Canis lupus familiaris: one gene and its partners. The protein of the gene in region 3 purifies or fractionates together with the protein of the main gene of each other region. This does not show direct contact. Links are inferred from orthologs where the notes say so. Each region holds a gene or a part of one and is shown on either strand. Other genes may lie near its edges.

Region 1 (3,651 bases), on a different chromosome or scaffold from region 3:
GAAACCCGAGTAAATGCTCAGGCTGCTGCATATGAGTACATGGCTGCGTATATCGAAAACGCCAAACAGGTAAAAATGTTGCTTAAAGTTCAGTAATTCTAAGAGTCTCATGGAGACTCTTGAGTTTCTAAACTTAAACTATCCTCGTTACATAAGGTTTATATTTTATTTTCAACAGTGTCTATGTAAAATGTGTAAGAGGTTAGCATGGATATTTTTAAATAAATTCCCATACTCAAGAGAATAGATCTTAAAAGTTTTCATCATAAGAGAAAAAAAGTTGTACCAAATGTGTGGTGATGGATGTTAACTACGTTTTTTATAATGATCATTTTGCAGTACATACATATAGTGATTCATGATGTACACCTGAACTAATACAATGTTATACATCAATTATATCTCAATAAAAAAAAATTTTTTTTAATTCTCACACTCAGTATCAGATATATGTTTAAAACCAAAATTTGGAAACAACCTAAATGTTCCTGAGTATAAAACTGATTAAGTAGGGATGCCTGGGTGGCTCAGTGGTTGAGCATCTGCCTTCAGCTCAGGGTGTGATCCTGGAGTCCTGGGATCAAGTCCCACATTAAGCTCCTTCTATGGAGCCTGCTTCTCCTCCCTCTGCCTATGTCTCTCTCTCTGTGTGTCTTCGTGAATAAATAAATAAATAAAATCTTAAAAAAAAAAAAGATAGTACACTTGGGACGTCTGGGTAGCTCAGCAGTTGAGCGTCTGCCTTTGGCTCAGGACGTGATCCCGGTCCCAGGATCAGGTCCCACATCAGGCTCCCTACAAGGAGCCTGCTTCTCTGTCTGTGTCTGTCTCTCTTTGTGTGTCTCTCATGAATAAATAAAATCTTAAAAAAAAAAACTGATTAAATAGATTATGGTATATCCATACAATGAAATGCAAACCAGCCTTTAAGAAAAATAAAAATTGCAATGCCTTGGTTGCTCAGCAGTTGGGTGCATCTGCCTTCAGCTCGGGGCGTGATCCCGGAGTGCCAGGATCGAGTCCCACAACGAGCTTCCTGCATGGAGCCTGCTTCTCCCTCTGCCTGTGTCTCTGTCTCTAATGAACAAATAAATAAAATCTTCGGAAAAAAGAAAAAAAAATTAAAAAATTATCTGTATATTTTATTTACATGGAACAAACCCCACAATATTGTGTCGAGTTGAAAAAACAAAGAGCACTGTACGTGGTATGTCATTATGTGTGTTTCTATTAACTTACATATATGCAAAAATACATCTGCAAGATAGGTATGTAAGCAGCCGGCTATAGAGGTAACATGTGGGCTGAAAAACTGGCTATTGAGGGAAAAGGTGGGAAGGATACTGAATAACCTTACTGTACTAGTATCTTGTTGAAGTTTCAGGTATTATAGTTTGGGTATTATCTATTCAAAATAATCTTTTTTTTTTAACTTGAAAGCCACATTTGCTATCAACTGTTCTGCATGCTATTATTTTACCATAGTGCTATGTAAACAAATAAATGACAAGTGTCTCTAAAATTAAACAGAAACCTCAATCTTTTTTGTCCTCTTAATTTGTTAGGTTGGCCGCCTTGAAAATGCAATTGGCTGGTATCATAGCCATCCTGGCTATGGCTGCTGGCTTTCTGGAATTGATGTTAGTACTCAGATGCTCAATCAGCAGTTCCAGGAACCATTTGTAGCAGTAGTAGTAAGTATTTTTGCAACCAGTCTTATTAAGTTCTTCTTGAAGAATTATTTAAGTAAGTACACTGAGAAATAAAAACTGTAGTAAAGCACAACAGTCTGGTGTCATTATACCTAGGATTGTATCTGAATTCCACCTCTTAGAAGCTGGGACTTATGTCTGAACAAGTTAACTAACCTCTCTGCAACTCTTCCCCCACTCTGTAAGATGAAGGTGATCACAGCACCTAGGTCTCAGTTCTCTGCACATAGTAGGCATTCAGTAATATTGACTGAATTGAGTAACTCAGGAATTGATAGAGCAGCTCTTGCTATGCTTAGAGTGGTTTAGATGCAATCCAGATTACTATGAGAAAGGTAGAAATTGTTCATCTAATAAAAAAACTTTCGAAAAAGAGATGAGCAAAACTTCAAATAACATTCTTCAATAGTATAATAACTAGATATAATTTCTATTAACTATGAGAATTCTGTACTCAACCACTTTATTCAACTTCTTTGGTATTTGGTTTGGTTATTTTCTTTCCTACTCTATTCCTTTTTCATTATTTTAATCAATGTTGGTGTGTGTGTGTGTCTGTGTGTGTGTCGTATGCATGCATAGTGTTATATATATCATATGTATTTCTAAGTTTAATGTTTAAACAAATGGAAGTATATAAAAATTTTATAACCAGCAGATGATAAATATATGTTTCTTTTAGATTGACCCAACAAGAACAATATCTGCAGGGAAAGTGAATCTTGGAGCCTTTAGGACATACCCAAAGGTAATTTTTAAAATTCGAAGTCCTTTTAATTTTTTAAATGACTCCTTTTTAAGTCATGTTATGCTTAATATCCTTTTTGTCCTAAAACAATTTGATAATATTTACAAAATAGTCAACCAACACAAATTGTCTTAAGCGAAAGATAACACATTTGTGCTATATATTGCTAAGAAAGCAGTTTTTATTTGTTAATAAGTCTCTTTGTGCCCATGACATTCTGACAGGTACTTCACAAACAAGCTAATACATCTATTTCCTTCCCTGTAATCTGAAATAAATATTAACCTATGTGTACATCCTCTAAGGACAAGAAAAATGAATCTGTAAACCAAATCCAACCATCAACCACCAAATGGGGTTGAGGGAAAGTAAAAGCAATATATAAATATATAATATATATACATATATTTTATATATATATATACTTTGTACTGGAATGTTTAAGTTCAATACATGGCTCCTCAAAATTAATGTTTCTATAAATGGAAAGCTGCATAGAAAGTTTTTTTTTTTTCTGTGTGTGTGTGTGTATATGTGGCTTTTTTTTTTTTAATCTTCTATTTTCTTCATTTTTGTTGAGGGCTACAAACCCCCTGATGAAGGACCTTCTGAGTACCAGACTATCCCACTAAATAAAATAGAAGACTTTGGTGTACATTGCAAACAGTAAGTCATTTTTAAATGTATCTGATGCCACAATCATCGTAAGAAATCTTAGTCCAAGCCCCTAATTTTACAGATGAGAATAAAAGTTCAGATGAATGCATTTCATAATCCTTTTAAAATTGTAGGAAGAATATAAAACTTGATAGGATAATGTTTGAATTTTTATTAATAATTGTTTTAAGGTAACATGTTATTTACCTTTCACACAACCATAAACATATCAATGTACAAGATACTTGGCTCATTAATGAAATTAACAACTGAAAGAAGTTTTATTCAGGGCCAGCCTGATACTACCTTATCCGTAAGCCCACAGAGTGTCCCAAGTTCCATTCATTCATTTCTTTCTTTCTGAGAGAGATTGAGAAAATGCAGGAGCAGGAGGAAGGAGCAGAGGGAAAGGTAGAAGCAGACTCCCTGACTATCTGAGGACCCCGAGATCAAGGCTTCAGCTGAAGGCAGCCACTTAACCTACTGAGCCACCCAGGCACCCCTCAAGTTCCATTTAGCAAAACTTCATCGTAA
Region 2 (3,751 bases), on a different chromosome or scaffold from region 3:
CAACACTCAACATCATATTCAATGATGAAGGACCGAAGGCTTTTCCCACTAGGAGCAGGAGCTAAACAAGAGAGTGTGGGTTTACCACTTCTACTCACCACTGTTCTGGAGGTTCTGAGCAGTGCAGGGACACAAGACAGGAAATAAAAGGCATGCAGACTAGAAAGAAGTGAAACCACCTCTATTCATAGGTGATGTGATTGCTTAGGTAGAAAATCCCATGGAATCTACAAAAAGCTACTAGAAGCGAGGTCAGCAAGAGAGCAGGGTACTAGAGTGATACACAAAAAACAATTTCTATTTCTATATACTAGCAAGAACCAGAAATTAAAACTTATACCATACTACTGCTTGTAATACCACCAAACGTACGAAACGCTTAAGAGTATTTCATAGAAGATGTACAAGACCTACACACCAGAACCAGAAATCCTTACTGAGAAATCAAGGAAAAGCAAACAAAGCTGTGCCGTGTCATCAGTTGGCACGCCTGGTACCATCAAGACATCAACGTTCCCCACATTAATCTAGAATTTGACACAATCCTAATCAAAATGCTAGTAGGCTTTATTTTTTAGAAATTGGCAAACATCATAAAATTCATACGGAAATACAAAAGAACAGTACATGTGTACTCAAGTGAATAAAATTCCTTAAAAAATCGGATAATACCAAGTGTTAGCAAGAACATAGAAAAACGGAGCTCTCACGTACTGCTGCCCAGATACAAGATGGTATAGCCATTTTGAAAACAGAAAATGTCCTAAAGTCAAATGTACACTTGCCTTATGACTCTGAGACTACTTCTAGATATTTACCCATGTCCACATGAGACTTATTCCTTCAGGTTCAGAACAGCTTTATTCCTACCAACTGCAAACTGTCAGTTATCCTGGTGAAAGGCTGTAGCTGTACTCCCCAGCAACAAAGAAACAAACTACTGGAACTGGGTGCAGACAACTGCCCCACACAGGTTCCACCGATGAGACTTAAACTGGTCCAACAGACCAACAGCAAGGAAGTCAGTGATCCGCCAGGACCAGGTCAGGAGAACGAACTCTTTGAAGTGATGTAAATATTCTAGGGATCCCTGGGTGGCGCAGCGGTTTGGCGCCTGCCTTTGGCCCAGGGCGCGATCCTGGAGACCCGGGATCGAATCCCACATCGGGCTCCCGGTGCATGGAGCCTGCTTCTCCCTCTGCCTGTGTCTCTGCCTCTCTCTCTCTCTCTGTGTGACTATCCTAAATAAATAAAAATTTTTAAAAATGTTTTAAAAAAAATTCTGTATGTTACCATGATAACAGCATTTACACCTCAATATAAGTCACTAAAGTACAGGTTCTATGCAAATTATGCCTCAAAAAGTCGATCAAAAAATATAAACTCATACAAAGTTATTACAAAGAAGGGATGGATGTCCACCAAAATGCCAATAGCGGTCTTCCTTGAGTGGCGGGAGTACAGGTGGTTTTAATTTATTTTTGTCCTTTTTTGTGATGTCCATAGTTCTTACAACAAACAGTTATGCAAACAGAAAGTTTTAATTCCAATGTCTTCATAGAAACGGAGGTATCTATCACACGGTCATGCAAAATGTAGGTGGTAGGTAACGCACTAATCAACGAATGCTATTCTCTGAAAACCAGTTATCAGGAAAACCGGTCTGCTGATCAACGGAATACGTAAAGTAATGCTCCTTTTCCACAATTACGTTGGAAACGGAACATCTTCGGACGTAACAAAATCCGTTTCCGCGTCTTAACCGCAACGATCGGAAAATAAAGAGGAGGAGGGCCGCGTGGCCGTGCGGCAGCGACGGGGGGGAAGAGCGCCCGCGCGGGGTCCGCCTCGGCCCTCACCTGGTACAGCTCCTCCAGGTTGTACCTGATGGACGTGCTGCTCTGGATGGCTCGCACCGCCTCGTGGAGCTTCTGCCAGGTGTCCTGAGTGTAGTTGTCCGGCAGCCGCGGTCTGTCTGCGGGGCGGGGGCGGGGTGAGGGTCGGCGCCCCCGTCGCGCCCACGATCACGCTCACGGGCCCGCAGCCCCCCCGCTTCCCTTCCCGGAATGACCCAGTCCTGGGGGCCCCGGGCGCGGACCGGCCGCTGCGGGCCCCCGCTGCGTGGACGCCGGAGCCGGGACACAGCCGGGGCGCTTCCGGGGACCGGACACCCCTTCGCCGCCGCCCGCCAGGCGCCAGGCCCCAGGCCCCGGGACCCGCACTTCCGGCGGCCGGGGGCGCCCCCCCCCCCCGGGATTCCCTCTCCGTAGGACCGGCACTTCCGGCGGCCGGGAGCCCCCCCCGTCCCTCCCCCCCCCACCGGGAGCGGCACTTCCGGCGGCCGGAGGCGCCCCCTCCCCCCACCCCTGCGCCCCCCCGGGACCCCCTCTCCCCGGGACGGGCACTTCCGGCGGCCGGGGGCGCCCACCCCGCCCCGCCCCGCCGCCCCGCCGCCCCGCACCCACCTCGGAAATTCTTGATGACGAGCTTCTTGGAGCCGCCGGCGCCGCCCGGCTTGGAGGCCACGGCGGCCGCGGCCAGGGACGCGGGCTTGGTGAGGCCGTTGGTGTGCCCGACCAGCGCCGACAGGGCGCCCTTCCTGGGGGTCTCGTCGGCCATGGCGGCGGCCGGGAAGCAGCGGGCGCCCCGCCCCGTCCCGCCTCCCCGGCCGCGCGGGCGGGCGGGCCTCGCGTCAGCGCCGCCCCGGCCGCCCAACCGCCGCCCCGCCGGCCCGGCGCGACCCCGACCCCGACCCCGGCCCCGGCCCCGGCCCCCGCCCCGGCCCGCCCCCGCCCCCGCCCCGGGCCGCCCGGCGGCCGCCGCGCTCCTTGTGGAACGTATAACGGTCGAGGGGGGCGGCGGGGCCCAGCTTGCCCCGGGCGGGAGCCCAGGCACCCAGAGGGCGCGGACCGGGCGTCCTCGCCGGGAGGCGGTGGCGGATCGAAGCGCAGGCCGCGGCCTTCCTCAGCCCGGGCGCGCCGCCATCCCGGCCCGGGGCGCACGCTGCCGCGGACTCTCTTCCTCCGGAACCCGCGTGCGGGGGAGGCGGGCCTGGGGGGCGCGCAGGTCCGGACGGACCGGCGGCCGGAAGTGAGGCGGACGCAGCCGCGCGCGCAGGCCCCGCCCACGCCCACTTTCCGCGGGGGGTCCGGCCATGGCGCACATCACCATCAACCAGTACCTGCAGCAGGTGGGTACGCGGGGCCGGGGCGCGGGTGTGGGCCGGCGGGAGTCGATGCGAGAAGCTCCACCGGCGTCCGCTCGGGGGTGTGGCCGGGGGGGCGGTCCTCGGGGGCACCGTGAGGGCTTAGGGGCTCCTGTCGCCGCCGCCGCAGCCGCCGCCGCCGCCGCCCCCGCCCCGCCGCGGGCCTCGGGCCTCTCCTCTGACGGTGCCCGCGGGGTGGGCCTTTGAGAACCCGTTGGACTACAGGCCCTCGTTGGCGTCTTATGTGCGTCTTAAAGCCCTCGAGGGCTTGGGGAGGCGCAAGGGCGAGCCTGCCGGGCTCAGACCCGCGACCCCACGCCTCGAGTCCGGTCTCCGCCCGCCCTGCCGGGTCTGCCCCAGCTTCGGCCGCGCCCCTCGTTCCCGCGCCGGCGAGCTCTTACCGTGGTGCACGGCGGCCCCTAGTTCGCACTTTTCCTTGGAGGCGGTGCCGCGGCCGTCCAGGGGCAGCCGTTCCGACCCGAGCTTCTGGCCCCAGACGCCGAGCCTTTCCACGCAGCACTCCGGCCGGCAGCCTCGCCGCAGCCA
Region 3 (3,651 bases):
AGATTTTGTTTGCTTGTGAAATTATCACAAAGAAAATACATCTATGAAAACATCATTGAAACTAATCAAAGACCCCAAAGTCCTCCTATGTTTTAATAAATCTGGTTTAGAAAAAAGATCAACATTAAGTTATCATTAACAAAAACCTCTGTATTAGTTTCTGGGTAAGAGATTTATTTTTTATTTTTATTTTTCCAGGTAGAGATTTTAATTTTAAATGGCTAAGATCTTACCTGGAGAAGTCTTTAATCCAGTCATATTGAACATGTAGATATTGTCATCTGTGCAGTTAGCAAATAAAGTAGAGCCAGTGGAATCCAAAATCAGACTTGAATATCCTAGAAAAAGAAAACTCTAGTTAGCATGTCCTGATGACAGCAAGTAGAACTGAGGTAACAATGTTCAGGTAAAAAGATCGTTCCACAAGATCATCAGAATTCTTCTTCCCCCAAATATATACAAACCAAAAATATCCTTCTGAGTTTTCATCTTTTGAATTTCAAAAAGATACAGCCATATGTTAATCTCAAGTCTATGTTGCTGAAAACTACCTTGGTATTTATTTTTAAAATTGTAACAAAAACTCACATCTCCAAAAAAGTCCTACAGGGTATAAAAAAAGGCTTACCTAGTTTTCGAGTACTGCTACCTGGGTACAGGAAAGACTTGGATGCTATGGGTTCCTGTCGATAAGCAGTATAATTCTTACGTAAATCCCATATCTTGATTACCCTAAAAACCAAGGTAAAGAAAATTATTTTGTAACCCCCCCAAATCCAACTAGTTTCAACTACATTGAATATGAGATGACTTTTAATCTAACTCTTCTGGCACATCAACCAGGTAAAATGAGGATATCTCATTGGGAAACAGATTAAACTATCTCATACTGTTGTTTCCAACGTCAGGCTAACAACTCAGGCAGAACGGAAACAGATGTGGTCTGACCCAGCGATGGGTTACCTTGAGTTTACTTCAAGGGAGCGGAAAAGGAAGATGAAGGTTGGGTTTTGATGATCATTGTTTCATTGTTTCAGAAAAAAAAAAAAACAAAGCAAAACAAATACTTCCTAAACCTTTAACACTCTGCATGTAACCTCTAACATCGTAAGTAACAAGCTGTTCCTATGGTTTTATCTCTACATAGAACTCCTTAAGTAATCCAGTCTAAACAACTTTTCCTGTGAAATAAAGAAATAAAGTATTTTTTTTAGTTCATCTATTGGTATAATTGTCTTAATCCTCAACTTGTAGTGTTTTTTTTTTTTTTTTTTAATTTAAAGATTTATTTTTTAGAGAAAGAGCAAGTGAGTAAGAGCAGGATCAGGGGTATAGAGGGAAAGAGAGAATTCCCAGCGGATTCCCTGCTGAGCAGGGAGCCCTAACTCAGGGTTCCATCTCACAACCCTGAGGTCATGACCTGAGCCAAAGCCAAGAGTCAGTCACCTAACTGAATGAGCCACCCAGGGACCCCTCACCATCTAATTTATAGGCTACATGAAAACACAAGCTTGGTATAAAAGTACAGTATCCTTGAAAACAGAACAAGCTTTCATAGCCATTCATAAGCATAATTAATAACCAGCAGATAATCCTCCATTTGTGTCTGAAAATTTGGTCCACAGAGGAGTTTTGGTGTCCAGAAGACACAATGGAAATCCTAGTTCATTAAGCCATCATCTTTTAAAATTAGTTTCAAAGGGAGGGATGTCTTGAGAGATATGACAAACAAGTAAGAGGGCGAAGAAGGGGGCTTAAAAACACTCAAAGAATTTTTATGGTAACAAAACAAACAATCAAGAAGTATCACAAACTTATTTGGAAGCCAAACATTCAGACCAATCACAGATAGCAGGTATGTAAAAGTCATTAGGATTTATCATTATAGTTAGATTATACTCCAATATGCCCATGATAGAGAATCAGATTCCTTCTTTTAGGGGTATTACTAAACCTGAGAAGATAAAAAATCCAAAAAAATAGAAATTTTATTCCTTAAAATGAAACTCACTGCCTAAAGTATACTGCATGGACAAGACAGCTATCCATCTAGCTTCTCTACAGCAGCAGCAGCAGCCAACACTGCTCCTATGTGCTATATAATGTGTGAAGTGTGACACACGGATCACCTCATTTAATTATTTGAGCAAGAGTCCTAACTAGATATTTTTCAGTGTGATCTGTAGTTCCTCATCTCAGCTGGGTATTCACTATGTTGAAAGTTAAAATAGCATACACATTCGATTAAAATGGGACTAGGTGACTTCCCTATCACAGTTTATGAAAGAGATCTCATCAAAAGAACCAAGAAATAAAGGCTCTTACCCATCCACAGCTCCTGCTGAGATTAATGTATTCTCATCTTGAAAGAGGACCACAGTAACACTCTGCTGGAAATCCTAACAGGACAAGGCAGAAAAAGACAGAAGAAAGTCCTATTTTAGGTATCATAATCTTCACAATCAAGACACCAATATGCTAAAATGATGGCTTCCCCAACTCAAATTCTGAGTTAGACTAAATCTTCCCTCTCCAATAATCCTGAATCAGATATTTATACTGACCAAGAAATAATTTTAGCATGAAAATGACCTAAACACCATTAACTAGAGTAGTGTTGACTTTTGACTTGTACTCAAGGAAAAAACAGGTAAATAAAAGATTTGTCTAAATCTACAGGTTCTACTTAAAAATCGGTTCTACTAATAAGCTATGTATCTGCAGGAAACTCATTGAACTTTCTTGTGCCTATTTTATCTATAAAATGTCACCATCTACTTAAACTGTCATATAGGAGGATCTAAAGAATTATGTATGAAAGCTGATTACAGCTCTCTTCCTCGGCACCGCCTGCGGAGGTGGCAGCCATCAATTGCTGGGCATCATGGCTGCCCTCAGACCTCTAGTGAAGCCCAAGATCGTTAAAAAGAGGACCAAGAAGTTCATCCAGCACCAGTCAGACCCAATATGTCGATATGTCAAAATTAAGCGCAACTGGTGGAAACCCAGAGGCATTGACAATGGGGTACGCAGAAGATTCAAGGGCCAGATCTTGATGCCCAACATTGGTTATGGGAGCAATAAGAAAACAAAGCACATGCTGCCCAGTGGCTTCAGGAAGTTCCTAATCCACAATGTCAAGGAGCAGCTAGAAGTGCTGCTGATGTGCAACAAATCTTATTGTGCAGAGATTGCTCACAATGTATCCTCCAAGAACTGCAAAGCCATTGTGCAAAGAGCAGCCCAGCTGGCCATCAGAGACACCAATCCCAATGCCAGGCTGTGTAGCAAAGAAAATGAATAGACAGCTTATGTGCGTGTCATGTTTGTGTTAATAAAACCATAAAACTACCAAGAAAAAAAAAAAAAGGTGATTACATGCTCTGAAAAATTTAAAGGAGTTCAATGGAATTTCACCCCTAATTGCTGTTAACAAGTTTTCTTGGCTCAGAATTAGATTGTCTGAAATGATACTCATTTTAATTCCATCTGGTTTATAAAAACCACATTAACCCTGTCAATTTTTCTTTTTTTTTTTTTTTTTAACCCTGTCAATTTCTACTCATGCCTGTGTCCTATTCTTGGTATGCAATTTTAAGTCCTAATGTTTTAGTAAACACATTTCTCCAACATATTAATTTGGGTCCTACA

The links.
Region 1: the proteins of DTL (region 3) and COPS5 purify together in Homo sapiens (affinity purification with mass spectrometry; 6 studies listed by BioGRID and IntAct, with this or other methods). This does not show direct contact. The link is inferred for Canis lupus familiaris from reciprocal best matches to the Homo sapiens genes DTL and COPS5.
Region 2: the proteins of DTL (region 3) and CUL4A purify together in Homo sapiens (affinity purification with western blotting; 15 studies listed by BioGRID and IntAct, with this or other methods). This does not show direct contact. The link is inferred for Canis lupus familiaris from reciprocal best matches to the Homo sapiens genes DTL and CUL4A.

What each region holds. Positions count from the first base shown.
Region 1 is NC_049250.1:17,041,914-17,045,564, reverse strand, and holds part of COPS5 (COP9 signalosome complex subunit 5), read left to right. Parts: coding exon 1-69; intron 70-1,565; coding exon 1,566-1,694; intron 1,695-2,394; coding exon 2,395-2,460; intron 2,461-3,040; coding exon 3,041-3,126; intron 3,127-3,651. UniProt on the Homo sapiens protein: Probable protease subunit of the COP9 signalosome complex (CSN), a complex involved in various cellular and developmental processes.
Region 2 is NC_049243.1:60,780,752-60,784,502, reverse strand, and holds the start of CUL4A (cullin-4A), read right to left. Parts: upstream 2,637-3,751; 5' UTR 2,620-2,636; coding exon 2,466-2,619; intron 1,976-2,465; coding exon 1,860-1,975; intron 1,204-1,859; exon of another isoform or gene 1-1,203. Other genes in the region: PCID2 (PCI domain-containing protein 2), read left to right, coding at 3,155-3,190. UniProt on the Homo sapiens protein: Core component of multiple cullin-RING-based E3 ubiquitin-protein ligase complexes which mediate the ubiquitination of target proteins. As a scaffold protein may contribute to catalysis through positioning of the substrate and the ubiquitin-conjugating enzyme.
Region 3 is NC_049228.1:10,193,269-10,196,919, reverse strand, and holds part of DTL (denticleless protein homolog), read right to left. Parts: intron 2,400-3,651; coding exon 2,326-2,399; intron 733-2,325; coding exon 629-732; intron 339-628; coding exon 234-338; intron 1-233. UniProt on the Homo sapiens protein: Substrate-specific adapter of a DCX (DDB1-CUL4-X-box) E3 ubiquitin-protein ligase complex required for cell cycle control, DNA damage response and translesion DNA synthesis.